Linked DNA regions of Saccharomyces cerevisiae S288C. The protein of the gene in region 3 interacts with the protein of the main gene of each other region in a biochemical or structural test. Each region holds a gene or a part of one and is shown on either strand. Other genes may lie near its edges. The genes, in order: GAL4, UFD4, RPT6 and RPN1.

Region 1 (7,811 bases), on a different chromosome or scaffold from region 3:
GAAATCTTGTATAAATAATTTAGTAATCAGTTCTTTAGGTTTTCGAGAGTGGCATACAACCTAAAGGGTCAACAGACAACAAGAAGGAAAGGAATTATAGGAGCAAATACACGCCCTTCAAATGGATCCCTTTCACAATGGCAATAAAAGGAGCTCAATATCGTTTGGCTCATCGCAGCGGCAGCCATATAACAAGAACAATTACTTGAGTGGTACTAATGGGCCTTCCTCGGCGGCACAAGATCAAGGTAGAGGCCCATCTCCCTTTGGAATGTCTGGCAACACTACCAATGGCGGTAACAGCAAAAGGAATAGTGGCTGTGACCTAAGTGCCACGTACTATGCAAGTCGATCGCCGATGTATTCACCGTTAGATTTCTCGCCACCAGTTTTTTCACCAAATCATTCTCAGTTACAGCAGGCGAGGGGCTATGCTGCAAATATTCCGGTTGTAAGCAATCTGATGAACCCTTCCATGGCCTCCGTGTGCGAATATCAATCACACTATCCACTCTTTGGGCTCGATTGGAGCGCCGACGACTACGTCTGCTTGGGTTCGTACAAAGAGGACAGCAGAAATAAGTTGCAGGTTCTGCACTCTAATGATCTACTGAGCTGGGAAAGCGTAGTGGACGCAGATGTGGTTTATCCTGTGAGCAAAATCCAATGGGTCCCCTCTCAATTGTATCCAAGGAAACTCGCGACGTGTTCTGACTCCTTACGGATTTGGAGCGTTAGCCCTGAGGAAAGACAGTTCCAAGAACAAATAAATCTATCTCTGTGTAAATACAATAGACAGCACCCCGCCAATCCCGCGGCCGCAGATGACATGAAGGTCATAGGCACTTTCCCACCAATAACATCATTTGACTGGAACACGGTCGATACTAACTTGATAATCTCAAGTTCCATCGACACCACATGCATTGTATGGGATCTGCAAAGCAGTCACTACGTTAAGACCCAATTGATCGCTCACGACAGCGAAGTTTTTGATGTAAGGTTTTTGACAAAATCGACCCAATTATTTGCTAGTTGTGGTGGGGACGGTAGTGTACGAGTATTTGATTTAAGATCGCTTGCGCACAGTACAATTATTTACGAGCCTCCCTCTTCCTCAGTGTCTGGAGCCACTGCGGGTACTATAACACCGTCGTCGAAAGGTTCGGACGCCTTATTGAGGCTGGAGCCATCACCGTATGACCCAAATGTGTTGGCCACTTTTGCAGCTGACTCGAACAAAATCATTATTCTAGATATGAGGAACCCAGAATCCCCTATACTAAACTTACAAGGCCACGGTTCTTCGGTAAACGGGATTAAATGGCATCCCACAAAGCGCAATGTTTTGCTCTCGTGCGGAGATGACTGCCAGGTGCTCTATTGGGACTTGAACAGCTCCTTTATGGAAATTAACGCTGCAGGTAGCAAATCCCCCAGTATTCATGGAACTTCCTTGGAGGACCCTGACGGCGACACAGAGATGACAGACGGTGGCGCAGGATCCGGTTTAAACGAGGATCCCTTAAGTTTAAACAACAACAGCAAGCAGGTGTGCAAGACACTAGAGACTCCTAACATGATGTATGCCAATAAAACACAAGAGATAAACAACATTGCATGGAGGCCCCAGAGGGGCGATTGGTTTGGGTGCGTGAGCGGCAAGAAGTTTCAAAACGTCCGCGTCCTTTGAGACAGCATTCGCCCAGTATTTTTTTTATTCTACAAACCTTCTATAATTTCAAAGTATTTACATAATTCTGTATCAGTTTAATCACCATAATATCGTTTTCTTTGTTTAGTGCAATTAATTTTTCCTATTGTTACTTCGGGCCTTTTTCTGTTTTATGAGCTATTTTTTCCGTCATCCTTCCCCAGATTTTCAGCTTCATCTCCAGATTGTGTCTACGTAATGCACGCCATCATTTTAAGAGAGGACAGAGAAGCAAGCCTCCTGAAAGATGAAGCTACTGTCTTCTATCGAACAAGCATGCGATATTTGCCGACTTAAAAAGCTCAAGTGCTCCAAAGAAAAACCGAAGTGCGCCAAGTGTCTGAAGAACAACTGGGAGTGTCGCTACTCTCCCAAAACCAAAAGGTCTCCGCTGACTAGGGCACATCTGACAGAAGTGGAATCAAGGCTAGAAAGACTGGAACAGCTATTTCTACTGATTTTTCCTCGAGAAGACCTTGACATGATTTTGAAAATGGATTCTTTACAGGATATAAAAGCATTGTTAACAGGATTATTTGTACAAGATAATGTGAATAAAGATGCCGTCACAGATAGATTGGCTTCAGTGGAGACTGATATGCCTCTAACATTGAGACAGCATAGAATAAGTGCGACATCATCATCGGAAGAGAGTAGTAACAAAGGTCAAAGACAGTTGACTGTATCGATTGACTCGGCAGCTCATCATGATAACTCCACAATTCCGTTGGATTTTATGCCCAGGGATGCTCTTCATGGATTTGATTGGTCTGAAGAGGATGACATGTCGGATGGCTTGCCCTTCCTGAAAACGGACCCCAACAATAATGGGTTCTTTGGCGACGGTTCTCTCTTATGTATTCTTCGATCTATTGGCTTTAAACCGGAAAATTACACGAACTCTAACGTTAACAGGCTCCCGACCATGATTACGGATAGATACACGTTGGCTTCTAGATCCACAACATCCCGTTTACTTCAAAGTTATCTCAATAATTTTCACCCCTACTGCCCTATCGTGCACTCACCGACGCTAATGATGTTGTATAATAACCAGATTGAAATCGCGTCGAAGGATCAATGGCAAATCCTTTTTAACTGCATATTAGCCATTGGAGCCTGGTGTATAGAGGGGGAATCTACTGATATAGATGTTTTTTACTATCAAAATGCTAAATCTCATTTGACGAGCAAGGTCTTCGAGTCAGGTTCCATAATTTTGGTGACAGCCCTACATCTTCTGTCGCGATATACACAGTGGAGGCAGAAAACAAATACTAGCTATAATTTTCACAGCTTTTCCATAAGAATGGCCATATCATTGGGCTTGAATAGGGACCTCCCCTCGTCCTTCAGTGATAGCAGCATTCTGGAACAAAGACGCCGAATTTGGTGGTCTGTCTACTCTTGGGAGATCCAATTGTCCCTGCTTTATGGTCGATCCATCCAGCTTTCTCAGAATACAATCTCCTTCCCTTCTTCTGTCGACGATGTGCAGCGTACCACAACAGGTCCCACCATATATCATGGCATCATTGAAACAGCAAGGCTCTTACAAGTTTTCACAAAAATCTATGAACTAGACAAAACAGTAACTGCAGAAAAAAGTCCTATATGTGCAAAAAAATGCTTGATGATTTGTAATGAGATTGAGGAGGTTTCGAGACAGGCACCAAAGTTTTTACAAATGGATATTTCCACCACCGCTCTAACCAATTTGTTGAAGGAACACCCTTGGCTATCCTTTACAAGATTCGAACTGAAGTGGAAACAGTTGTCTCTTATCATTTATGTATTAAGAGATTTTTTCACTAATTTTACCCAGAAAAAGTCACAACTAGAACAGGATCAAAATGATCATCAAAGTTATGAAGTTAAACGATGCTCCATCATGTTAAGCGATGCAGCACAAAGAACTGTTATGTCTGTAAGTAGCTATATGGACAATCATAATGTCACCCCATATTTTGCCTGGAATTGTTCTTATTACTTGTTCAATGCAGTCCTAGTACCCATAAAGACTCTACTCTCAAACTCAAAATCGAATGCTGAGAATAACGAGACCGCACAATTATTACAACAAATTAACACTGTTCTGATGCTATTAAAAAAACTGGCCACTTTTAAAATCCAGACTTGTGAAAAATACATTCAAGTACTGGAAGAGGTATGTGCGCCGTTTCTGTTATCACAGTGTGCAATCCCATTACCGCATATCAGTTATAACAATAGTAATGGTAGCGCCATTAAAAATATTGTCGGTTCTGCAACTATCGCCCAATACCCTACTCTTCCGGAGGAAAATGTCAACAATATCAGTGTTAAATATGTTTCTCCTGGCTCAGTAGGGCCTTCACCTGTGCCATTGAAATCAGGAGCAAGTTTCAGTGATCTAGTCAAGCTGTTATCTAACCGTCCACCCTCTCGTAACTCTCCAGTGACAATACCAAGAAGCACACCTTCGCATCGCTCAGTCACGCCTTTTCTAGGGCAACAGCAACAGCTGCAATCATTAGTGCCACTGACCCCGTCTGCTTTGTTTGGTGGCGCCAATTTTAATCAAAGTGGGAATATTGCTGATAGCTCATTGTCCTTCACTTTCACTAACAGTAGCAACGGTCCGAACCTCATAACAACTCAAACAAATTCTCAAGCGCTTTCACAACCAATTGCCTCCTCTAACGTTCATGATAACTTCATGAATAATGAAATCACGGCTAGTAAAATTGATGATGGTAATAATTCAAAACCACTGTCACCTGGTTGGACGGACCAAACTGCGTATAACGCGTTTGGAATCACTACAGGGATGTTTAATACCACTACAATGGATGATGTATATAACTATCTATTCGATGATGAAGATACCCCACCAAACCCAAAAAAAGAGTAAAATGAATCGTAGATACTGAAAAACCCCGCAAGTTCACTTCAACTGTGCATCGTGCACCATCTCAATTTCTTTCATTTATACATCGTTTTGCCTTCTTTTATGTAACTATACTCCTCTAAGTTTCAATCTTGGCCATGTAACCTCTGATCTATAGAATTTTTTAAATGACTAGAATTAATGCCCATCTTTTTTTTGGACCTAAATTCTTCATGAAAATATATTACGAGGGCTTATTCAGAAGCTTCGCTCATATAACGAAAAAAAAGGGTTTGGATCGAACGTAATTGAGATTGATTAGTTAATACTCAAAATAAAACAGCTCCTACCACCAGTGTAAAGTAGAACGTTAATAGAGCAATGTCTTCAGACAAATCTATTGAGAAAAATACAGATACGATCGCCTCTGAAGTTCACGAAGGTGATAATCATTCGAATAATTTGGGTTCAATGGAGGAAGAGATAAAATCAACGCCATCAGACCAATATGAAGAGATAGCTATAATTCCAACTGAGCCCCTCCATTCGGACAAAGAACTAAATGACAAGCAACAAAGTTTAGGCCATGAAGCACCCACAAATGTATCAAGAGAAGAACCTATTGGGATCTCTGGTGATGAAGACACCCAAATCACTGAACAAAACGTTAATGAACAAAGGCAAGAAACGAGAGAACCTAGTTCTGAAATTGATTTAAATGAGCCATTGGATGTTGAAAAAGATGTGACAACGGATGTGCAAGCCCCAAATGGGCTGAATATTGAAAAAGAATATGATGCAGTCAAAGAGAATGAGAAGGTTTACGCTGATACGAAAGAGGTTGTTAGTAGTCCAGAAAATAGGGAAGTAACTGGAAAAAATTCTGGAGGTGAGAAATCATCCTCGAGTAAATTTCTCGATGACGAATCTGGTACTACGACAGCTGCAAATGCGAACGACATTTCTATAAGTAGTGAAGTAACCCCAGAAAGGTCGTCAGAAAATGATAATAACCAGATTCATATTACCAATGAGGTAGCCGCAGGAATAAACTTGAATGAAAACAAGGAACAAAAAGCTGCTATAGAAGATGGGCCCGTAACAGCAGAGAATCTTTCCTCAGAAACTGCTAGGAAAGTACCACCTATACCCACACAAATCATAAATGAAAAAGGTGATAACTCAAGCGAGAACGAGGTTTCCGCAATTCCCACTACATCTTCGCCACCATTACCACCTAGACAAAATGTTGCGACATCAACGTCACCAAAATTACCTCCAAGGGGCAAACAAAGGGAACAACCACCGAAGACGAAGAATGCTGTTCCACCGCCACTAGAGGAAGAAATGAAGTCAGAGAAGTTCCGTAAAAACTTCGAAGAAACTAAAAGAAATAGTTATCATCATGTTCCTCTCACTGGTTCCAAAACTGCGCAATTAGAGTCCACTGCAGAAATTAATTTGATCGCTAGTCGTTACCGCAAGACCAGTCACCATTTGAATAAAGAGGGGGAAGAAACTAGAGAGTCGTTGCAGGAAGGTCAAAGCTTTTTAAAATCGACATTTACGTCATTTCTGGAGAACTTGTCCGAGTATAACGAAGTGGAGAATGTTAATGAAGAAGATAGAGAAATGTTTAAAATTGATTGGTCCTTCTGGACTCAAGTAGTTAATGATTATGCTACAGTGGCAAGCAACGAACCAGAAAATTTAGAAGCCCATGTTACCAATGGGATACCACCACAAATTCGAGGTATCATTTGGCAGCTGATGGCGAATTCCAAATCAAGAGAAATGGAAGATATATATGAAACTCTATTGGATACCGAATGTCTTCATGAAGCAACAATACGTAGAGATTTAAGGAGAACGAAGTTTGTGGCCGAGGACAAAATGGAGTCACTATACAAGGTAATAAAGGTGTATTCTGTTTATGATCCAGATGTTGGGTACACGCAAGGCATGGGGTTCATTGCAGCGCCGCTATTAATAAACTGTGAAAACGAGGCCGAATCTTTTGGACTACTCGTTGGATTAATGAAGAATTATGGATTAAGAGAGCTTTTCTTACCAGGAATGCCTGGGCTGATGTTAATGCTTTATCAATTTGATAGATTATTAGAGGAGCATTCACCTTCTTTGTACAATCGCTTGATCCGTGAGGGAATTAGCTCCACAATGTACGCTACACAATGGTTTTTGACATTTTTCGCATACAAGTTTCCGTTAGAGTTTGTGTTAAGAATTTTTGATATTGTATTCGTAGAGGGTATTGAAGTGCTTTTGAAGTTTGCTGTAAATTTAATGTTAAAGAATGAAGAAACTTTAGTAAAATTGAGATTCGATGAACTATTGGATTTTTTAAAGGACGAACTCTTCAATTACTATTTAATGGGAAACCAGGATGACGCTTCTGTAGTGCAAATGGGATTGTCAAATGGGAACTCATTTAAGGGCAATGATGACGGCACTTTTTCCTACAATGTCGATCTTTTCGTTCATGATGCAATGACAGGTGTATATATCACACCATTAACATTAAGAAGATACAGGGGAGAGTACGTAGAAATCCATGAAAAAGAGCAAAAAAAAGAGGACCACTACGAATCACTAAGAATTCAAAACCACCAACTACAAAGAGAGGCGCAGAAGCTAGAACACGACTATTCAATTTTGAACAAAGAGAATATCAGCGCCGCTAACGAGCTGATTCAGAACAGATTGAATATGGAGATGCTGTTGGATGAAAAAAACGACCTGATAAATACAATCACTGATATCAAAAGCCAAATTGAGGAAGAGATTCGCAAGCAAAATTTACCGAACCCGGACGCGTCACTACCAAAGGCAGATCTGAGAGAAGACTTGGAAAGGACCATATCCAGGAACAATGAGGTGATGAGGGAGAACGGCCAATTAGAGGAAAGAATCACTGAACTGCAAGCGGAAATCGATGAGTTGATTAACATCAATAAGGAGCAAGTGTCCACGGCATCGTTATTGGAACGAGATTCTAAGGCTAAAGGGAGGAAAGGCTGGACTGGTTTTAAAAAAGTTTTTAAATAGATGTATAGTTTTGCGCTGTGTGCACATTGTGTGCCTCTCCAATTTGTGTTAAAAAATGCATCACGACTCGTTTAGACAATGTTGTTGTTGTTGTTTTTTTTTTGACTGTATTTTCACCCGTACATCCACGGATGTGTTGGGTTTTTGTTTCCGCTTTACCGT
Region 2 (9,351 bases), on a different chromosome or scaffold from region 3:
TCCGTTTTAACGCAATTTCGCACGGAAGGTAACTATGTCTTGAATTTTGCCACTCAGCAATATAAATGTTGGATTTCCTTACCAATTGTCTTTGTATTGATAGGCGCTTTGCAATTAGTGAATCTTTATTGGCTGTTCCTTATTTTTAGAGTTCTTTACAGGATTCTATGGAGAGGTATTCTCAAGGATGACAGAAGTGATAGTGAATCAGACGAAGAAAGTGATGAAAGTTCCACTACTCCAACTGACAGTACTCCAACGAAAAAGGATATTTGAAGGAAAACGGTGTTTTTAAGTAGTATAACCATTACACATTAATTCTTTACACATTAATTCTTTTACGGTCCTGCTCTCACGTTCTTCCTTATTGGTTTATGTAAACAGGTATTTTTATAGTATTCTTTTCCAGACATACAGTGTTATCTTTTTTTCTTGCTTTCGTGCCGCTAAAGAGCTGTGAAGATCAAAAGTGATTTACGCTTAGTTAGCATGAATATAAATTCTCAGTTGAAAAGAAGCTATGTTACATTTATGAGCGTTGCTTTAGTATATCTATACAAAAAAAAGAAATTTTTATACAATGGTCTATTAAAAAAGGCTTCCAAATAATAGTTCAGCTTATTCCATGTTGATGTTAGTGCTTTCAACAGTGGAGCTATCGTTGTCATAGTAGGCCGACACCTTGACTTTGAATTCAGAAGCAGCGATACCGAATTGTTTCAGTATTAAAGCTTGACGAACATCTAATTTTTCTCCTTCAGTGCAAACTAAATATGGACTGTCAATGGTGATCTTACCAGCTTTGATTTTAGTTGGAATTTCAAATTTGTTTCTCATAGTTGGCTCTAAAGAATGAATCATTGGAACATCTTCCTCAGCTGGAATTTGACCACCACGTGAGTAGACAATGCCCTCAGGAATTGTAAATGTTAGTGGTGCTTTCGTGTTCGGTCTTGAATAGTCTGAACGAACGTATGACTTAAAGTATTCCTTGACAGTGTTGACATCCTCATCAGTGAACAATAAACCAGTGACACCGCTACAAAGCTTACTCAATTGATACAGATTTTCTTTGTATTCTTCTTCCCTCTTTTCTCCCAATGCTTTTTGTAAAACTTTCCTCTTACCCATAATTAACTTAGAGCCTGCCCAAGATGTTCTGATTTCTTGTAAAACTGGAGTTCTTACGTCGTCAAGATGTAGGACCCAGACGTATCTATAAGTATCTAAGGCTTCCCTCACTTCATCGAAAATTCTTTCTTTATTTTCTCTGCCCTTTTTATCGGTTTGTGCTAAAGTGACTAGCTTGGAACGTTTTGATCTTGGCATGATTCAACTATAATAAATCTTTTATGGACGATAGACAGTGATGTACGTATAGCAAAAGGAATCAGCTCTGCTTAGCCAAAGTACTACAAATATTTGCAACTTTTCAAAAGCTCATCGCATTTTTCTGGAAAAAAATTTTTTCTTTCACCTTCGCCGGGTAAAGTCCTAATGGTTGGGTTTTCTGAACTGAAATCAAATTGTGGGATCATAGCCAACAGTAGTTGGAAAGGGGAATAGCTTTGATCATACCCAGGGAAAGACCACTTTCTGGGATCGATACTTTCCTTTCTGTGTGCTTTATTAACAACAATATATCTCAGGTGTGAAAATTTTGGATAAACATTTAAAATAGAAGAGTAGCCAAGCATGTCTGAAAATAATTCGCACAACCTTGATGAACATGAGTCCCATAGCGAAAACAGTGATTATATGATGGATACGCAGGTAGAAGATGACTATGATGAGGATGGCCATGTACAGGGTGAGTACTCTTATTATCCTGATGAAGATGAAGATGAACATATGCTTTCTAGCGTCGGAAGTTTTGAGGCAGATGATGGTGAAGATGACGATAACGATTACCATCATGAAGATGATTCTGGACTTTTATATGGATATCATAGAACTCAGAATGGCAGTGACGAAGACAGAAATGAAGAAGAAGATGGACTTGAACGTTCTCACGATAATAATGAATTTGGCAGCAACCCCCTACATTTACCTGACATTTTGGAAACATTCGCACAAAGACTAGAACAAAGAAGACAAACAAGTGAAGGACTTGGGCAACACCCGGTTGGAAGAACACTACCCGAGATTTTATCGATGATTGGAGGAAGGATGGAGAGGAGCGCAGAGAGTTCGGCAAGGAATGAGCGGATTTCTAAATTGATAGAGAATACTGGGAATGCCTCCGAGGATCCTTATATTGCAATGGAGAGTTTAAAAGAACTTTCTGAAAACATATTAATGATGAATCAAATGGTTGTCGATAGAATTATACCGATGGAAACCTTAATAGGTAATATAGCTGCCATACTCTCTGATAAAATTTTACGGGAAGAATTAGAATTACAAATGCAAGCTTGTAGATGCATGTATAATCTTTTTGAGGTCTGCCCTGAATCTATTTCAATAGCTGTTGATGAACACGTTATACCAATTTTACAAGGAAAATTGGTAGAGATCAGTTACATTGACCTCGCAGAACAAGTTTTAGAAACGGTGGAATATATTTCTAGAGTACATGGGAGAGACATTTTAAAAACGGGCCAATTATCAATCTACGTCCAATTCTTCGATTTTTTAACTATACATGCGCAGAGGAAGGCTATCGCAATTGTTTCGAACGCCTGTAGCAGTATCCGAACGGATGACTTTAAGACCATTGTTGAAGTACTTCCAACGCTGAAGCCAATTTTCTCGAATGCGACAGACCAACCAATATTAACCAGGCTTGTAAATGCCATGTACGGTATTTGCGGGGCGTTGCATGGGGTTGACAAATTTGAGACTTTGTTTTCGTTGGATTTAATCGAAAGAATAGTTCAGCTAGTTTCTATTCAGGATACCCCCTTGGAGAATAAACTGAAATGTTTGGATATTTTAACCGTATTAGCGATGAGTAGTGATGTACTTTCAAGAGAACTGAGAGAGAAAACTGACATTGTCGACATGGCAACACGATCATTCCAGCATTATAGTAAAAGTCCTAACGCAGGGTTACATGAAACACTGATTTATGTCCCAAACAGTTTATTGATTAGCATTTCTAGATTTATAGTTGTATTGTTTCCTCCCGAGGATGAAAGAATACTGTCAGCGGATAAATATACCGGAAATAGCGACCGTGGCGTAATTTCTAACCAGGAAAAGTTTGATTCCCTAGTTCAATGTCTAATTCCAATTCTCGTTGAAATTTATACAAATGCTGCTGACTTTGACGTAAGAAGATACGTACTTATTGCTTTACTGAGGGTTGTATCATGCATAAATAATTCCACAGCAAAGGCAATCAATGATCAACTTATTAAGTTAATCGGATCTATCCTGGCCCAAAAAGAAACAGCGTCTAACGCTAATGGTACTTACTCATCAGAAGCTGGTACACTGTTGGTTGGTGGTCTCTCGTTGCTTGACTTAATTTGTAAAAAGTTTTCCGAACTGTTCTTTCCTTCCATCAAAAGAGAGGGCATTTTTGATTTGGTTAAGGATTTGTCTGTGGATTTCAATAACATTGATTTAAAGGAAGACGGGAATGAAAATATTTCACTTTCTGACGAAGAAGGGGATTTGCATAGCAGTATTGAGGAATGTGATGAGGGTGATGAAGAATATGATTACGAATTTACTGATATGGAAATTCCTGATTCAGTAAAACCAAAGAAAATTTCAATACACATTTTCAGAACTCTATCTCTAGCTTATATTAAAAACAAGGGTGTGAACCTAGTTAATAGAGTACTTTCTCAGATGAACGTTGAGCAAGAAGCAATAACAGAGGAGCTCCATCAAATCGAAGGCGTTGTTTCTATTTTAGAAAATCCTTCCACTCCGGACAAAACTGAAGAGGATTGGAAGGGAATTTGGTCTGTTTTAAAAAAATGTATTTTCCATGAAGATTTCGACGTGTCAGGTTTCGAATTTACTTCTACAGGGCTAGCTTCCTCCATAACTAAAAGAATTACATCCTCAACGGTATCCCATTTCATTCTTGCTAAATCATTTTTAGAGGTATTTGAGGATTGTATTGACAGATTTTTAGAAATCCTACAATCTGCTCTCACAAGGCTGGAGAATTTCTCTATAGTTGATTGCGGTTTACACGATGGTGGTGGTGTATCTTCACTGGCTAAAGAGATAAAAATTAAGTTGGTTTATGATGGCGATGCAAGCAAAGATAATATTGGTACTGATTTATCATCTACTATCGTTTCGGTCCATTGCATAGCTTCTTTTACCTCACTTAATGAGTTTTTGAGACACAGAATGGTAAGAATGCGTTTTTTGAATTCATTAATCCCAAACCTTACATCTTCCAGTACCGAAGCTGATAGGGAAGAAGAAGAAAATTGCTTGGATCATATGAGAAAAAAGAACTTTGACTTTTTTTATGATAATGAAAAAGTTGACATGGAGTCTACAGTATTTGGTGTGATATTTAATACATTCGTCAGGCGAAATCGTGACTTAAAAACTTTATGGGATGATACACATACAATCAAATTTTGCAAAAGTTTAGAAGGTAACAATAGAGAGAGTGAGGCAGCCGAGGAAGCTAATGAGGGGAAAAAGTTAAGAGATTTTTATAAAAAAAGAGAATTCGCACAGGTTGATACTGGATCTTCAGCGGATATTCTGACATTGCTGGATTTTCTACATAGCTGCGGTGTTAAAAGCGACAGTTTTATCAACTCAAAACTAAGCGCTAAGCTCGCTAGACAACTAGATGAACCATTGGTAGTAGCAAGTGGAGCTTTGCCGGATTGGTCACTATTTTTGACCAGGAGATTCCCATTTTTGTTTCCGTTTGATACCAGGATGCTTTTCCTACAATGTACTTCATTTGGTTACGGAAGATTGATTCAACTTTGGAAGAATAAGAGTAAAGGCTCGAAAGATTTAAGGAATGACGAAGCTTTACAACAACTTGGGAGAATTACTAGGCGTAAGCTGCGGATTTCAAGAAAAACAATATTCGCTACCGGTCTCAAGATTTTATCCAAGTACGGAAGTAGCCCTGACGTACTGGAAATTGAATATCAAGAAGAAGCAGGAACAGGTTTAGGACCGACTTTGGAATTTTACTCCGTAGTTTCCAAGTATTTTGCAAGAAAGTCGTTAAATATGTGGCGTTGTAACTCTTATAGTTACAGAAGCGAAATGGATGTTGATACTACTGACGATTATATTACCACTTTATTGTTCCCAGAGCCCCTCAACCCGTTTTCCAATAATGAAAAAGTTATTGAACTTTTTGGATATTTGGGGACATTTGTTGCCAGATCGTTGCTTGATAATAGAATTCTTGACTTTAGATTTAGCAAAGTCTTTTTTGAGTTATTGCACAGAATGTCTACGCCCAATGTGACGACAGTGCCGAGCGACGTTGAAACCTGTCTGTTAATGATCGAATTGGTAGATCCGTTACTCGCAAAATCCCTTAAATACATAGTAGCGAATAAGGATGACAATATGACCCTAGAATCGTTGTCCTTGACATTTACCGTTCCTGGAAATGATGACATTGAGTTGATTCCGGGGGGTTGTAATAAATCCTTGAACTCTTCTAATGTTGAAGAATATATCCATGGCGTTATCGACCAAATATTAGGTAAGGGCATTGAAAAACAGTTAAAAGCATTTATTGAAGGTTTTTCAAAGGTGTTTTCCTATGAGAGGATGCTAATACTTTTTCCGGATGAATTAGTGGATATTTTCGGACGAGTTGAGGAAGACTGGTCTATGGCAACTTTATACACAAACTTGAACGCTGAACATGGCTATACAATGGATTCTTCAATCATTCATGATTTTATATCAATAATATCCGCGTTTGGTAAGCATGAAAGAAGATTATTTTTGCAATTTTTAACGGGATCTCCCAAGCTTCCAATTGGGGGATTTAAAAGTTTGAACCCAAAGTTTACAGTTGTGTTAAAGCATGCTGAAGATGGCCTAACAGCAGACGAATATCTACCAAGTGTAATGACATGTGCTAATTATTTGAAATTGCCGAAGTATACTAGCAAAGATATTATGCGGTCTCGTCTTTGTCAAGCCATTGAAGAGGGTGCAGGAGCTTTTCTACTTTCCTAAATTTTAGTTACTTTTTCTATTTAAGTTTTATATGACTTCAAAATTATTTCTTAAGATACAAAAAATGGATGGAATCAGACTAAATTTCTTCGGATTATCCGTACTTTTCTCATTTTTTTGTTTCAACTGGCGATTCCATATTTGTTTATCCATTGCATACAACGAAGGCTTACGGTTATACAGTCTAAAGCTAAAAAAGATAGTAATATGTCGACAGCACAGAAAGCTAAGATATTGCAACTCATCGATTCCTGCTGCCAAAATGCAAAAAGCACACAACTGAAATCTTTATCATTTGTTATTGGAGCAGTAAATGGCACGACGAAAGAAGCTAAAAGAACCTACATTCAAGAACAGTGTGAATTTTTGGAGAAGTTACGACAACAAAAGATAAGAGAGGGAAGAATTAACATATTGTCTATGGATGCTGGTGTTTCTAACTTTGCTTTCTCTAAGATGCAATTGCTCAATAATGATCCGCTCCCTAAAGTACTAGACTGGCAAAAGATAAATCTAGAGGAGAAATTTTTTCAAAACCTCAAAAAGTTAAGCTTGAATCCTGCTGAAACTTCTGAGCTTGTATTTAACCTTACGGAGTATTTATTTGAATCTATGCCGATACCAGATATGTTTACAATTGAAAGGCAACGTACCAGAACTATGTCTTCGAGGCATATTTTAGACCCAATTTTAAAAGTGAATATTCTCGAACAGATTCTTTTCTCTAACTTGGAAAATAAAATGAAGTATACGAATAAAATACCGAATACGTCCAAGTTGAGGTATATGGTATGTTCGTCCGATCCACATCGGATGACTTCATATTGGTGCATTCCAAGAGAAGAGACACCGACCAGTTCAAAAAAGTTAAAATCTAACAAACATAGCAAAGATTCTCGAATAAAGCTAGTGAAAAAAATACTTTCAACCTCAATACTAGAAGGTAATTCAACTAGTTCTACAAAACTGGTCGAGTTCATAGGAGTTTGGAATAATAGGATAAGAAATGCCCTTACCAAAAAAAAAAGTTTCAAGCTATGTGATATACTAGAGATCCAAGATAATTCGGGGGTGAGAAAAGATGACGATTTGGCAGATTCATTCCTCCATTGTTTGTCTTGGATGGAGTGGTTAAAAAATTATGAAAGTATTACTGAACTCTTGAATTCAAAAACACTGGTTAAAACACAGTTCGGACAGGTGTTTGAATTTTGTGAAAATAAGGTACAAAAGCTGAAATTTTTGCAGAACACTTACAACAATGACTAAGAAATTGTGCGGTGATCGCAAACTTGAAATAACATGTAATCTCTATGTATAATTTATATAATGATTAACAAGATAGAGGTCGACACGTCAGAATCAATAGTCCAATTCCACAGCCGGAGTTAAATGCCTCTTTTTTGACGCGGTCAACGTTAAGTTTGCAGTAGCGCTTTCGGCAGTCGGTGCAGAGCTTTCAGGCTTAAAATCCTCGAAAATTTGTCTTCTTATGTTATCTTCATCGCCTAGTGCCTTGTATTCAAGAGATTCGCCAAGCTCTTTGGAAGCTAAATCCCACGTACTAGGCTTGGGCTTACCGGTTTTTGTATATGTCCTTTGCAAAAGTAACCAAAAATAGTGCTTCTTTTGCTCCAATATCCTACGCTCATTTTGGAGTTTCTGTTGTATCTTTTCGTTTCTTTGCTTTATCAAACCATCAACAATCAAACTGATGTCTTCTTTATCCACCTTGTCAAATTTCCGGTCATTTTCCAGAACTTTTTCTATGTTTTGCTTGGTGATCTCGTCGCTATCGGCATCATTCCATTCAAAATTTTGATCTATCAACGTCTGTTGGGCTATTGATCTTTGTGCAAAGATGTACATCCTTTGTTCATCAACAAAATCTAAAAATAAATCAAGGCAGGACGAGCCATTCCTTCCAAGCATATGTAAAAAGCGCGGATCAGACTTTATATGAGGATAAATATCTGACCATCTAGTATTTGCTTTGATTTTGATTGGCACTTCTCTTAATAAGCTTTTAAAGTTATCTCTAGCAATACGGTCTCTGGTATAATTGCGCAGTCGGAGCTCATTTAGTTTGTTTTGAAGATCGTTTTCAATCGTATTTACTATTTTCAGATACTCGTTTAAAACATCTTCGTGGGTTAAGACTTTGAAGTGCCGGTTCGCCATATATCTCTTACTCTTATCAAAAACATAGTGATTTAAAAGCTGCTGCCAGGTTATGAAAGTTTCAGAGGATGATGTTGTTATAATACCGTTTAAATACTCTCTTAGTTCTTTTAGGGCCTGTGTTTTCAATTTTTTTTTTGATTCTTTCTGAGTGTCGATGAGGGTATCTATATAATCTTGAAAGGTCTGTCTCTTTGTCTTTTCATTGACCACGGAGTGTTTGTATATTGGTTCGTCGGCAATTAGTCTCTTTGCGGTAGGCCAACGGGTGTAATATTTTATATGAGAATTGTTTTGCAACATTTTCTGAAAGGCTTCTTTGAATTTGCTTGTTTCATTGTGTTCCTTAAGAAGTTGATCGGCTGATCTATTGGAAAGATATTTCTCAAACATTTCTTTCTTCCATAAGGGGTCATCATCGACCATCCAATACCTTGGATCTCTGGTCCCCAGTTCTGAAATAATTCTACTGAATGACCAAGTAGAGTCTACTTGATTTTCCTTCAGCATGGTAATAAATTCCTTCTCTGCTTCTTCTTTAGTCCTTCTCCTGACATTAAGCAGTTTAGAGTTATTAGCATATTGGCTTTCCTCCTCGTTTATAGTTCGTCCCGGCTCTTGTTTTTCTCCAGCCGTAAGGGCTATTCTATTTCCATTAACCTGTGCATGGGATACTGTATCATGTTTTTGTTCTGCGATGGGTTCTACTTTCTTCTCGAAGGCCGGAATAGTCCAGCTGGTTTCTCTTGTTGTTGGATTATAATAGTATACTTTGCCGTCTGCCGTCTTGGCCGCCTTCCAGCCATTTTCTCGAAGAAGTAGCTCCTCCTGAGAAATTAGTTCCTTGGGCTTCTCCCACGTAGATTTCTTTGTCAAAGTATTGTAATAATATATCCTTCCACTTGCATCTTTAGCTTCCTTCCAAATAGACATAGTTTCACGTCTCCCACCTCCGGCAATGCTTGTCTAGTGGTCGATCTGGCTTCAGACCTTGTTATCCTGATAGGTAGGCACGCTATTGCG
Region 3 (5,980 bases):
GTTCCCCCTTGCTTAAACCATTGAGAATGGTGGTTTTGTCAACATGCGGTTTCTTTTCCTTAGCCGAAAAAGCTGTCTTTACGTAGTCCTGTCCATAAAGAAACGTCGACTTCTCTAAGGTTTTCTCAATTCTCTTATTCTTGGAGGTTGGACTGTTCCCCGTTTTCACGCGAACCTCACATACTAGCGATAATTTGATCGCTACGTTAGTTATGTCTCTCTTTATGTCAATGACCGCTTCTCCGGTTATGCTTTCATTCGGTTTCCATACTCTATGCGGTTCGTCTATGTCTATACGAAATTGCTTCACGTTGTTATGGGCCAGCATGCTGTTGCCGTAACTGCCAACAATACCATGACTCTTTATTTTTGATGGTGCCCTTGATTCTTTGTTCCACAGTCTCAGTAACGACATGTTTGGTCAATGCTACCGATAGTGAGGGTGATGCTGATGATACTATACTAGCGTACTTTGGCTTTAACGTTAAAATCTTGTACGTGCGTGAGATGATGCGTATTCGGGGATGTCTATTTTCTATTTTTTTTTTTTCTTCGTCTAGATTGTTACTTTTGACTCAATAGAGCTTAGACAATAATACTATAAGGAACTTTGAAGAAGAAATCAAATGTAAGGGGAAAAGGAAAGGGTATAAGCCTAAGAAAAATGGCACCTGCAGAAATTGCTAGACAGTAGAACGTGTTTTGAAGCCAATCGTTGGGATTGGAGCGGAAAAGTCCAAGAACAAATAACGAAGAAAGAAAACAAAGAAAGGCGATTAAGTAAAGTGGTAGTAGAGCAAGTACGAGAGAAGAGGAAGAGGCTTAGACACAAAAAAATACTATGTTTATTTAAACCAGACAGATAGCAAAGGAAGAAAGAAAGGGGAAAAAGAATAGAAGAGAAGAAACTTAAAAAAGGCCAAGGAAATTCCGGTACTTGGCATTTCGTACTCTGAGTGCGTGCGACCTGCAAGCCGAATAGCGATTTTCAGATTCTCCGATTGGCTTTTTTTCTTGGCAAACGATACGATTGCGAACGATCGCGCGTTCACACGTCACACCGCAGCATAGAGCGAGTAGAACGGTGCGTGTCAGCGTGGTCGGCGTAGCCTAGCAATTGCCACTAGTTGGCGGACGTTGTAGGCGGACACGCGCTGAACTCGGCCCCGTTGTGGCTCATTCGCACAGAAGACCCGTGCGAATGGGTGGGATGACAACGTGGAGCGAGAGCAGGAACTAGGACGGATTAAGACACTCGTTGAAAGTGCTATTTGAATTTATATAATATAGTCCGAGCGGGGTCTATATCGGACTATATAATGCATTCCAACCTTGGTAAGTTGCTTAGCAACATGCTCAGCGATCTCGGAGTCCCTGCGAATAATGTAGTGCAACAGTGGCTGTGATATGAGTATACATAGAGTGCCCGTCGGCTGTAGATATAGCAATTCCGATGAAGAGCGATACGGAGTTTTTGGGCTGGCGTACTTAGAGAGCGCTAGCCTTACGAGCATAGCAAAGATGGCCACTTTTCCGTAACAATGGCGCAGAAGTTGGTTATTGGGCCCGTGGCGCAAACTTGACGGGAGAGGTTACAGACACAATATACTGCAGTTGAGCGAAAGCCGACGTGTTGTATTAAGCGCTTGAGTAAAACCGGATGTTCTTGACGATCTTAATATTGTTAGGAGAGTAATCTGCGATCGTGGCTTTGCCTGACGCACTCAATCTTGCGTGGGAAAAACCTGAATACCACTTAATAGATGATATTTTAGAGTATCATTTGAACGGTAGGTATACTGAATATATTGAAAGTCCTCCCCAGGGATACGAGAGTTCATAGAAGGAAACTAACATTTCTAAATTATATTAATGTTATTTTTTTTCTTTCATTTCTTATGTTGTCACTTATTCTATTACATTATCAATCCGTGCATTTCAGCTTCCATTAAATCTGCTGACTGTTTCTCGATCTTCACGTTCTATCCTTACATCTTATATGATATTGTAATACAGCTATGAACAATAGTCTATAGATGGTGGTCGATTCTTGATACAACAGCTGCATGACGGTTGTTGATACAATTATTTTTAGAATTTTAGTGGACTCTCATAGGACTCTTGTCCCTAAACGAAACATCAAAAAACTGGTTTCGTGGTCTAGTCGGTTATGGCATCTGCTTAACACGCAGAACGTCCCCAGTTCGATCCTGGGCGAAATCAAGTTTTATTTTTTTCTGATCAAAAACGTCTAAGGCATTACGCGGATACTGCTAACTAACCAAAGAAACCTTCCATCTTTTTTTTTGGTAGTTGTCCTACTTTCCGTTCTTTTCGTCTTTTAAAATCTTACTAACTAGCTGTATATAGTTTCAACTAGCAATCGCTCAAATGACGGGTTATGAGAAACTGGGAATGGTTTGAGTTTCTCTGTTTGAGATGCACGTAAACCAGCTATCAAACCTGTTTCAGTGGGTGCACAAGACCATACGTAGCCCAACTCTACAAACTTGTCTGCTATCTGCTGCTGGTGGTTATCCATCAAAGAATCGTTTACGCAAACTATCAACGGTTTATTCAACCGTAGAGAATCTAGTATAGAGCCCGTTCCAGCGTGTGATATGACCAAATCTGAATAATCACGTATAATACTTTGCATCTTGGTCGAAAAGTCAAACCCGATCACCTTTAATTTCCCGTTCATCAGGACATACTGTCTTGCGGTGTCGCCACAGCCAAACTGGTCAATTGGAATTTTTTGGCTTTCTCTTTGGCCCCCGCGTTCTTGCACTAAATGCTCAAATTCAGAACTGTAGTTTCTCCCAAACTGAATGATTAGACGTACGAATCCATATTGAATCAATTCTTGGCAGAATTCGTCGCTTAGCACACATGAGACGAGCTTTGGAAATGGCACCGTTGCCCCACACGTAACAAAAAGAGCCTTTTCTTCAATAATACCCATTGTTTGAAAGAGCTGGCTTCTGACTCGTTTGTTTAACCTCTTTTTGCGACTGAAAACTTGTTTTTCTATTTCCCTTTTTCTTCGGTTGGGTTTTTTAATATGAAATCATATTTTGCATACTTCTCTACCCTTATTCTTGTTCGGAAATTTTCGTATTTTAAAACTGTCAAAATGCGAGCGAGGTGGCAAAAGTTGTAATATCAGTAACAGTTAGGTTAGGTTTTATGTAAACGGAACAACAGTATAGTGGGATACTATCACGACAATGACAGCTGCTGTAACATCCTCCAATATAGTATTAGAAACCCACGAAAGTGGTATCAAACCATATTTTGAACAGAAGATCCAAGAAACAGAATTAAAGATCCGCTCCAAAACAGAAAATGTTCGCAGACTGGAAGCTCAAAGGAATGCATTGAATGACAAAGTACGTTTTATCAAGGACGAACTGCGTCTATTACAGGAACCTGGATCTTATGTGGGTGAAGTTATAAAGATCGTGTCTGACAAAAAAGTTCTCGTTAAAGTGCAACCTGAGGGAAAATACATCGTGGATGTTGCAAAAGATATAAACGTGAAGGACTTAAAGGCATCTCAAAGAGTTTGTCTAAGGAGTGACTCTTATATGTTGCATAAAGTTCTTGAGAATAAGGCTGACCCACTAGTTTCGTTGATGATGGTGGAAAAAGTTCCTGATTCCACATACGATATGGTTGGTGGTTTGACAAAGCAAATAAAGGAGATTAAAGAAGTTATTGAATTGCCCGTAAAACATCCTGAACTTTTTGAAAGTTTGGGTATTGCGCAACCAAAGGGTGTCATCTTATATGGCCCCCCTGGTACAGGGAAAACCTTATTGGCAAGAGCTGTCGCACATCACACTGATTGTAAATTCATCAGGGTCAGTGGTGCGGAACTGGTACAAAAGTATATCGGCGAAGGTTCCCGTATGGTCCGTGAGCTGTTTGTGATGGCTAGAGAACATGCTCCCTCAATTATCTTTATGGATGAAATCGATTCCATTGGCTCTACTCGTGTAGAAGGTTCTGGTGGTGGTGATTCAGAAGTTCAAAGAACAATGTTAGAACTACTAAACCAATTGGACGGGTTTGAAACTTCTAAAAATATCAAGATCATAATGGCCACGAATAGACTAGATATTCTAGATCCAGCACTTTTGAGACCCGGTAGAATAGATAGGAAGATTGAATTTCCACCTCCAAGTGTCGCAGCTAGAGCTGAAATTTTAAGAATCCATTCCAGAAAAATGAATCTAACTCGTGGTATCAACTTGAGAAAGGTTGCTGAAAAGATGAACGGTTGTTCTGGTGCCGATGTCAAAGGTGTCTGTACAGAAGCTGGTATGTATGCTTTAAGAGAAAGAAGAATACACGTTACTCAAGAAGACTTCGAACTCGCTGTGGGTAAGGTTATGAACAAGAACCAAGAAACGGCCATTTCTGTCGCCAAGCTGTTCAAGTGATGTATTCGTTTCACTTGGCTCATTGTATATGTTACTTAGTGTATGTGTATAATATCATAGTTTAGCATTAACTAAGAGGCAAAATTATACCGCTGGATATACAGGATATAACAACCGTTTGTCTTTTCGAGAACAGAGGGGCAGAGCATTGCTGCTTTTTCCCCGTCCTGACCTTATTAATAGTAAGCCGGGGGGCCCGTTCCTTTAGTGTATTTTGAAAAATAGTAGGTACCTGCTTTGCAAAAAGGACTGAAAAAAAAAAGATAATAAGTTTTTGATTAGAGGTAAACACAGCAAACGACCACTCAGCCTAGCAGCCTTGACCCTCGAATTTAAAAAGGCGTCTGTGTTGATAGTAACTAGAAGATAACGTTTACTACGGCGACTTCATATTTTTAGGCTGTTTTTACTGTTCCTGAAAGAAAGAATTTATTACAAAGAACAATAGATCAATTGTAGGCACTATGACTGACCAAAGAGGTCCACCGCCCCCACACCCGCAGCAAGCCAATGGCTACAAGAAATTTCCTCCTCATGATAACCAATACTCTGGAGCCAATAATAGTCAGCCAAATAACCACTACAATGAAAATCTTTACAGTGCAAGGGAACCTCACAATAACAAGCAATACCAGTCGAAAAATGGCAAATACGGGACAAATAAATACAATAATCGTAATAATAGTCAAGGAAATGCACAGTACTACAATAACAGATTCAATAATGGCTACAGACTGAATAACAACGACTATAACCCGGCAATGTTGCCAGGTATGCAATGGCCAGCTAACTACTATGCTCCTCAGATGTATTATATACCCCAACAAATGGTTCCAGTTGCTTCTCCACCATATACACACCAACCACTCAACACTAATCCCGAACCTCCCTCTACACCTAAAACTACAAAAATAGAAATCACTACGAAAACTGGTGAACGTTTAAATTTGAAAAAATTCCACGAAGAAAAGAAAGCTTCGAAAGGTGAAGAGAAGAATGATGGGGTAGAGCAGAAATCTAAATCAGGAACCCCTTTTGAAAAGGAGGCAACTCCTGTACTACCTGCTAATGAAGCAGTTAAAGATACGTTAACCGAAACATCTAATGAAAAATCTACCTCTGAAGCGGAAAATACTAAGAGATTATTTTTAGAGCAGGTGAGATTGCGCAAAGCTGCCATGGAAAGAAAGAAAAACGGTTTAATCTCCGAAACTGAGAAGAAGCAAGAAACTTCAAATCATGATAATACTGATACAACTAAGCCCAACTCGGTTATTGAATCTGAACCTATTAAGGAAGCGCCGAAACCAACGGGAGAAGCTAATGAAGTTGTGATTGATGGAAAATCAGGGGCAAGTGTCAAAACTCCACAACATGTAACTGGAAGTGTAACTAAATCCGTGACTTTTAACGAACCCGAGAATGAGAGCAGTTCTCAGGATGTTGATGAGCTTGTTAAAGATGATGATACTACTGAAATTTCGGATACGACTGGTGGAAAAACTGTAAATAAAAGTGACGACGAAACAATA
Region 4 (5,473 bases), on a different chromosome or scaffold from region 3:
TGCTGAGAACATGTACTCGAAATCAAACCTGTACACTGGTTATTCTCTTTTCTGGGCAGGTATCACTGTCGGTGCTTCCAATTTGATTTGTGGTATCGCTGTCGGTATCACCGGTGCGACTGCTGCCATTTCCGATGCTGCTGATTCCGCATTGTTTGTTAAAATTTTGGTCATTGAAATTTTCGGGTCCATTTTAGGTTTATTAGGTTTGATTGTTGGTTTATTGATGGCCGGTAAAGCTTCTGAATTTCAGTAAGCGCTCAAACCAGGCTTTTCTTTTCCGTTTTTACGAGCTAGATAAGCGCATCCATATTTACTAATAGATATAATGAGATATCTGAGATACATGTGTATGTATATATGCACGTTTTCTTTTATTATCTAAAAATCATATTATATTAAGTAAGAGAAAAAAATGTACAACTATATAAATATATATTTATTTAAAATGGTTTTGAATTTTTCCTATTCTGGTTGATATTGCCCAAAAGCTATTCAGTTTACTCCTCTTCACGATAGTCAGGGTTCTTCTTTAAAATTACTACGCCCTCAATATGGCTTGTGTAACTAATATATTCATCAGTTTCTAGTTCTGCTCTTTCGCCATGATTTAGTAAAACAGGAGTGGATTGCGTAATCCAGCCAGTAATCTTTTTTGGTCTGCCTGCTTGGCCGACAGTTTCCACTGCTTGACCAACGCGCACATTAACCTTTATTGGCTCTCCCTCATCGTTTAATGCTAGAATAAACTTTGGCCTTATACCGGCATTCAACATGTAGAACAATTGATGATGCTTCAACATGAAACTTGGCGATACTAAACCAACTGCGGTAGTTAATATTGATGCTAATGTCACCTTATTCAAAACATGTGCATCATTGAACACATCCATTGTCATAGTACCTTTACCAAGATGCAATAACCCTTGTGCTAATCTGGTGATAAACAAAGCGTCTTGTTCACGTGAATAATAACTTGCCAACTGTCTTAATAGTTGAGCTAACCTTGCATTGTTAGTACCAGCACCACATAGACCCATAGCGAAAATTGAATTCATTGAAACTTCTAAATCGGCGTCATGTGAAAAACGAGTTAAGGTATCGAACACCTTCATTTGTGGATCAGAAACGGAAACAATACCCATCGCTAAAGGAACCATACGACGGATGTGTTCATTACCATAATGCATTAAATGACCAAAATGACGTAAAGACATTTCCTTGCCAATATCTTCACCAAGGGCAATCAAAGCAATACCCAAAACTGCATAAGCAAGTTCATCGACTATGCCTGCTTCTTTTTCTTCCTCCTCATCATCATTTTTCCCGTCCGTAGTAGCATCCTTATCGGAAGATTTTCCCTTCTTTTCTTCGGATTTTATCTCTTCACCTTCTAAACTCTCACCATTCTTCTTCTCTGTTATTTCTGCTTTAACTTCAACTTCCTCTCCTTCGGCATCAACCTCCATTTCGTCCACTTCGATCTCAGCTTCCTCGTTCTTGGTAGGTTCATTCACTTGCTCACCCAAAAAGTCACTTATGCTATTAGTCTGTCCTTCGGCAGTTTCTTCTTCATCTGCATCTTCTTCACCTTTTACGTTTTTAGGGGTCAAACGATGTAACAAATCTTGAATTAACAAAACATCACCCGTACCAGTATAAGCACATGAACCAACTAATACTTCAATAGCTGATGTCATTGGATGTTCAATAGCACTAATAGTTTCTAAAACATCATCCACCTGTTCACCTTGGCCCATGTATAGAATACCTAAAGCAAGTGCCAAAAACCTTACCCAGTCGGTCTTCAACTCGATGGCTGTACGCTCTAAAAAGTTGTCCATGATAGAAGTTGTAATGTCACCATTACAAGTACCAACGAAAACATGAGCCAAAGCTAAGGAAGCCATAGCTGCAGTTTCAATAGGCAAGTCAGTGGATGCGGCAATTGGTAATAACAAACCCAACACTTCGTCATTCTTGCTACCAGCAAATGCAATACCCAGGCCAAGAATAGCTGCTGAACTAATTTTAGTGTCTGGGTTAGTAACATAATCTTGCAAAAGTAACAAAGCTGGTTCAACTTCACCATCATGCACACCGGAAGCGGAAATACCAATACCTAATAATGCACCAGCTTTAACTTCTGGCTCATCAACGTAGAGATACTTATCCAGTTGTTGCAAACCATCGAGATTCCACTGGTATATAGATCCAATACTAGCTACCGCGGAAGTCATACCGTCACCTTTGGTTTTATATACCCAATTATCATTATCCACAATTAATTTATCGTTACAATAACCTAAGTTTAAGAACCCGTTGACAAATGACGAAGCTAGATTTTGTTGAGCAGAATCTAGGCCGGCGCTTGAGAACACAGATTTAGAGTTATCCAAATGGCTCTTATAAATGTCTTCTGGGACTTTTGGCCCAGTTAGATTCAATTCTTTAGCAAGATATAAAAAGTGTTCAGACAATTTACCATTTCCAATTATATCCTGAACACCTTCATACTCAAACGATGTCTTTTGTGCGGCTAAAATATATGCTAATTGTTTATGCATCACTGGATCGCTAGTAGCATCGAAAACGGATCTGATCATATCCTCTTCCCCTAGTCTAACTGCCAAAGCAATTGCATCTGTAAGTTCGTTCTGAGATAGATAAATAGAATATGCGGTTTTTAAAAAGGCAACGTCTTCAGGAGGTGGCAAAAGTGGAACACATGCAACCATATATTGACAAACTCTTTGGAAGGTATTCTCATCGACAAATTGAGGTAGCTTGTCAATAGATTCAATTTCCAAAAGCAAATCTACCGCGTCTTCTTCACCGTTGTGTTTCAAAAAGTATGGGACAATGTCTAAACATAGACGAAGAGTATCTTCCTTGGAAAATTCGAACCCGGAAGTAGCCGCAGATCCATCGCTTTTAGATCCATCAGATGATGTTTCATCTTCAGCATCTTTTTCCACTTGATCATTATATACTTCACCGATCTCCAAAGCTAAATGACGGATGTACTCATGTCCCCACCCTTCAAAATCAGAAACGTCGGAGAGTAATCTATATCTCAATGAATCGTGTTTACCATTTTCAGAGTATGTCATGGCTAAAATGGACAAGACATCCGCTAAAGAGGATTTCAAGTTTGGATCTGTCCATTTGTCGTAGATAGAACATAGGTCTGGATATGTCGGACGAAGGAATTTCAAAGGTTTGGGAACGGCGGTCATAGAACTCGTAGAATTTTTGATCGATTCCTTTAAGGCATTCAAAGACGCTTCATATAAAGATGAATCGTCTTCTTTCAGCCTTTCAACCAATAGCTCTAAATCTGTTTTAAGCTTTGCATCTTCTTCGGATAGCTGCTCCTCTTCCTCCTTTTTTTTATCCTTCTTATTTGGTGTCTGCTTTTCAGGACTTATCTGCGATTGTTCATCAATAGTCTGTTGTTTCTTATCACTTTCGTCTACCATTTTCTTGCAATTGTCTTCCAAATTTATACGAATCGCACCTTATGTAGACCAATGGGCAAGTTTGTTAGTGAAGAATTATAGATTTGACCAAATTTGCTTAATTACTTATACCCTTTGCCAAATTTCGTGCTCGCCTTTTGCCACCGTAAAACACATCATCTTCTACGAACATTAATCTGTTATATTACCAATTTTATATATACATAGTATGTAAATATGAAAATGTTTTATGAATGTCTCTATGAGATGAGCTGTAAATAGTCAACTCATTTGACAAATTGCCCATCGAAAGCACGCTTTGCCCAATCCAATAGCTTGTCAAAAACGATTACATTCGCATTATGGTATCTTATACTATGATCTGAGTCAGGAAAGACGTGGACGTCATAATTTTCCACACCATTTAGATCCAAAAGGTCCAGAAACTTTAGGGAATTTTGAAAGTGAACGTTATCATCTCCTGTTCCGTGCATCAACAAAAATCTATTTGCTTGTGCCAAAGCAGTGACATTATGAACGCTTGATTCTACGTATCCATCAAAGTTTTCTTGAGGAGTATGCATGTACCTCTCAGTATAAACAGAATCGTAAAATCTCCAGTCGGTTACTGGCGCAACTGACATCCCGTATTTGAAATGTCTTCCGCCATCTTTCTCCAAAGTTTTTAGTGTCAGGTACCCCCCGTATGACCAACCAAATAAGGAAATCTTTTGCGGATCAACAAAAGTTAAAGAACCATATAAGGAAGCCGCAGATATTTGGTCGCGGGCCTCGTAATCACCGAGCCTATCGCGAACAAGGGATCTAAAGTCTTGACCTTTGAAGCCAGTACCACGACCGTCAACAACAACTACAATTGCGTTTAATTGTGAAGCTACCACTTCATTAAATCCTACGGAAAACGTTTTGACAACTTGTTGAGAATTCGGTCCCCCATATGCAAAGAAAAATACAGGATAGTGGTCACTTAACGTTTCATCGAAATCATTTGGTAGGATTTCATACGAGTTCACTAGTATATCCTTTCCAAATTCGTCCTTTCCTAGGTTCAATTCCCTGAATGATTTTCTGGGTACCGCATAATCTTCTAAAATTTTGGTAAGTACTTCGTTCTTTTCCAAATGGTATAGTGATTTGCCTAAAACATTACCTTTGTCGCATTTTTCTGCTTTACGAGAATGGAAGTCCACAATTTTTTGATATGGAACTTTTGGTCCTTTATAGGTGAGTAAACCAAACCTTCTACCAGAAGAAAAGGACACATCATAGACACCATCCTCAGAAGTATCAGTAACTTCAATAATTTCATTTGGTGACCGTAAATCTATGTAGTAAACGTGGCGTTCGGTTGAACTCTTTCGTGTAGAAATGAAGTAAAGACGATTTTCCATTGAATCAAAGGCAAGTGGGCCATTCACCACTTCCCATTTCCCCTCTGTCAATGTTTTATAGTGTGAACTATTACTATTTTCGAAATAAGCCAAATGATTGTAACCACCAATCGGAAGAATATCAACATAACCATTATGAGGCCTATCAAATGTTTCATTTGCCGGAATAAACAGAGTATTATGAGTAATCTCCCACCATCCTCCGTTAGAACTTTCGTTCCTTACCACGTTTGAAGTCTTTGCAATTGTATCTATCAAAAACACAGTCAATATGTCCGAGGATCGATCGGTAGTTTTAACTAAAACGTTTCCATTTCCTACCCATGTAACTTCAGTAATTAACAGACTTCCATCTTTTTTATTTCCACTTATTCTTGGATGGAACGATGTTCCATCTTTCATACTGTAAACCCATAGCTCTGCATGAGGATTTGGCGTGCCACTTTTTGGATACTTGATACTGCGCATTTCGGGGTATATATCCTTTTCATCTTGGACATAATATGGAATGATAAACTCACCAACTTCTGATTCATCAATTTTCAAGAATGCCAGGTAATCACCAGTTGGTGACCACCACGCAGCCTTGTCGTCTTCAAA

Evidence for each region.
Region 1: the proteins of RPT6 (region 3) and GAL4 form a complex in vitro, tested with the Saccharomyces cerevisiae proteins (2 studies listed by BioGRID).
Region 2: the proteins of RPT6 (region 3) and UFD4 form a complex in vitro, tested with the Saccharomyces cerevisiae proteins (2 studies listed by BioGRID).
Region 4: the proteins of RPT6 (region 3) and RPN1 form a complex in vitro, tested with the Saccharomyces cerevisiae proteins (2 studies listed by BioGRID).

Annotation. Positions count from the first base shown.
Region 1 is NC_001148.4:76,507-84,317, reverse strand, and holds GAL4 (galactose-responsive transcription factor GAL4), read left to right. Parts: upstream 1-1,961; coding exon 1,962-4,607; downstream 4,608-7,811. Other genes in the region: YPL247C (uncharacterized protein), read left to right, coding at 122-1,693; GTPase-activating protein GYP5, read left to right, coding at 4,965-7,649. UniProt on the Saccharomyces cerevisiae protein: This protein is a positive regulator for the gene expression of the galactose-induced genes such as GAL1, GAL2, GAL7, GAL10, and MEL1 which code for the enzymes used to convert galactose to glucose.
Region 2 is NC_001143.9:418,220-427,570, reverse strand, and holds UFD4 (putative ubiquitin-protein ligase UFD4), read left to right. Parts: upstream 1-1,695; coding exon 1,696-6,147; downstream 6,148-9,351. Other genes in the region: sphingosine N-acyltransferase LAC1, read left to right, coding at 1-276; ribosome assembly factor MRT4, read right to left, coding at 619-1,329; CCE1 (cruciform cutting endonuclease), read left to right, coding at 6,355-7,416; snoRNA-splicing protein PRP40, read right to left, coding at 7,510-9,261. UniProt on the Saccharomyces cerevisiae protein: E3 ubiquitin-protein ligase which accepts ubiquitin from an E2 ubiquitin-conjugating enzyme in the form of a thioester and then directly transfers the ubiquitin to targeted substrates.
Region 3 is NC_001139.9:408,537-414,516, reverse strand, and holds RPT6 (proteasome regulatory particle base subunit RPT6), read left to right. Parts: upstream 1-3,230; coding exon 3,231-4,448; downstream 4,449-5,980. Other genes in the region: RIM8 (Rim8p), read right to left, coding at 1-415; N-acetylglucosaminyldiphosphodolichol N-acetylglucosaminyltransferase catalytic subunit ALG13, read right to left, coding at 2,357-2,965; TIF4632 (translation initiation factor eIF4G), read left to right, coding at 4,913-5,980. UniProt on the Saccharomyces cerevisiae protein: The 26S proteasome is involved in the ATP-dependent degradation of ubiquitinated proteins. The regulatory (or ATPase) complex confers ATP dependency and substrate specificity to the 26S complex.
Region 4 is NC_001140.6:161,230-166,702, forward strand, and holds RPN1 (proteasome regulatory particle base subunit RPN1), read right to left. Parts: upstream 3,483-5,473; coding exon 501-3,482; downstream 1-500. Other genes in the region: VMA16 (H(+)-transporting V0 sector ATPase subunit c''), read left to right, coding at 1-256; DAP2 (dipeptidyl aminopeptidase), read right to left, coding at 3,749-5,473.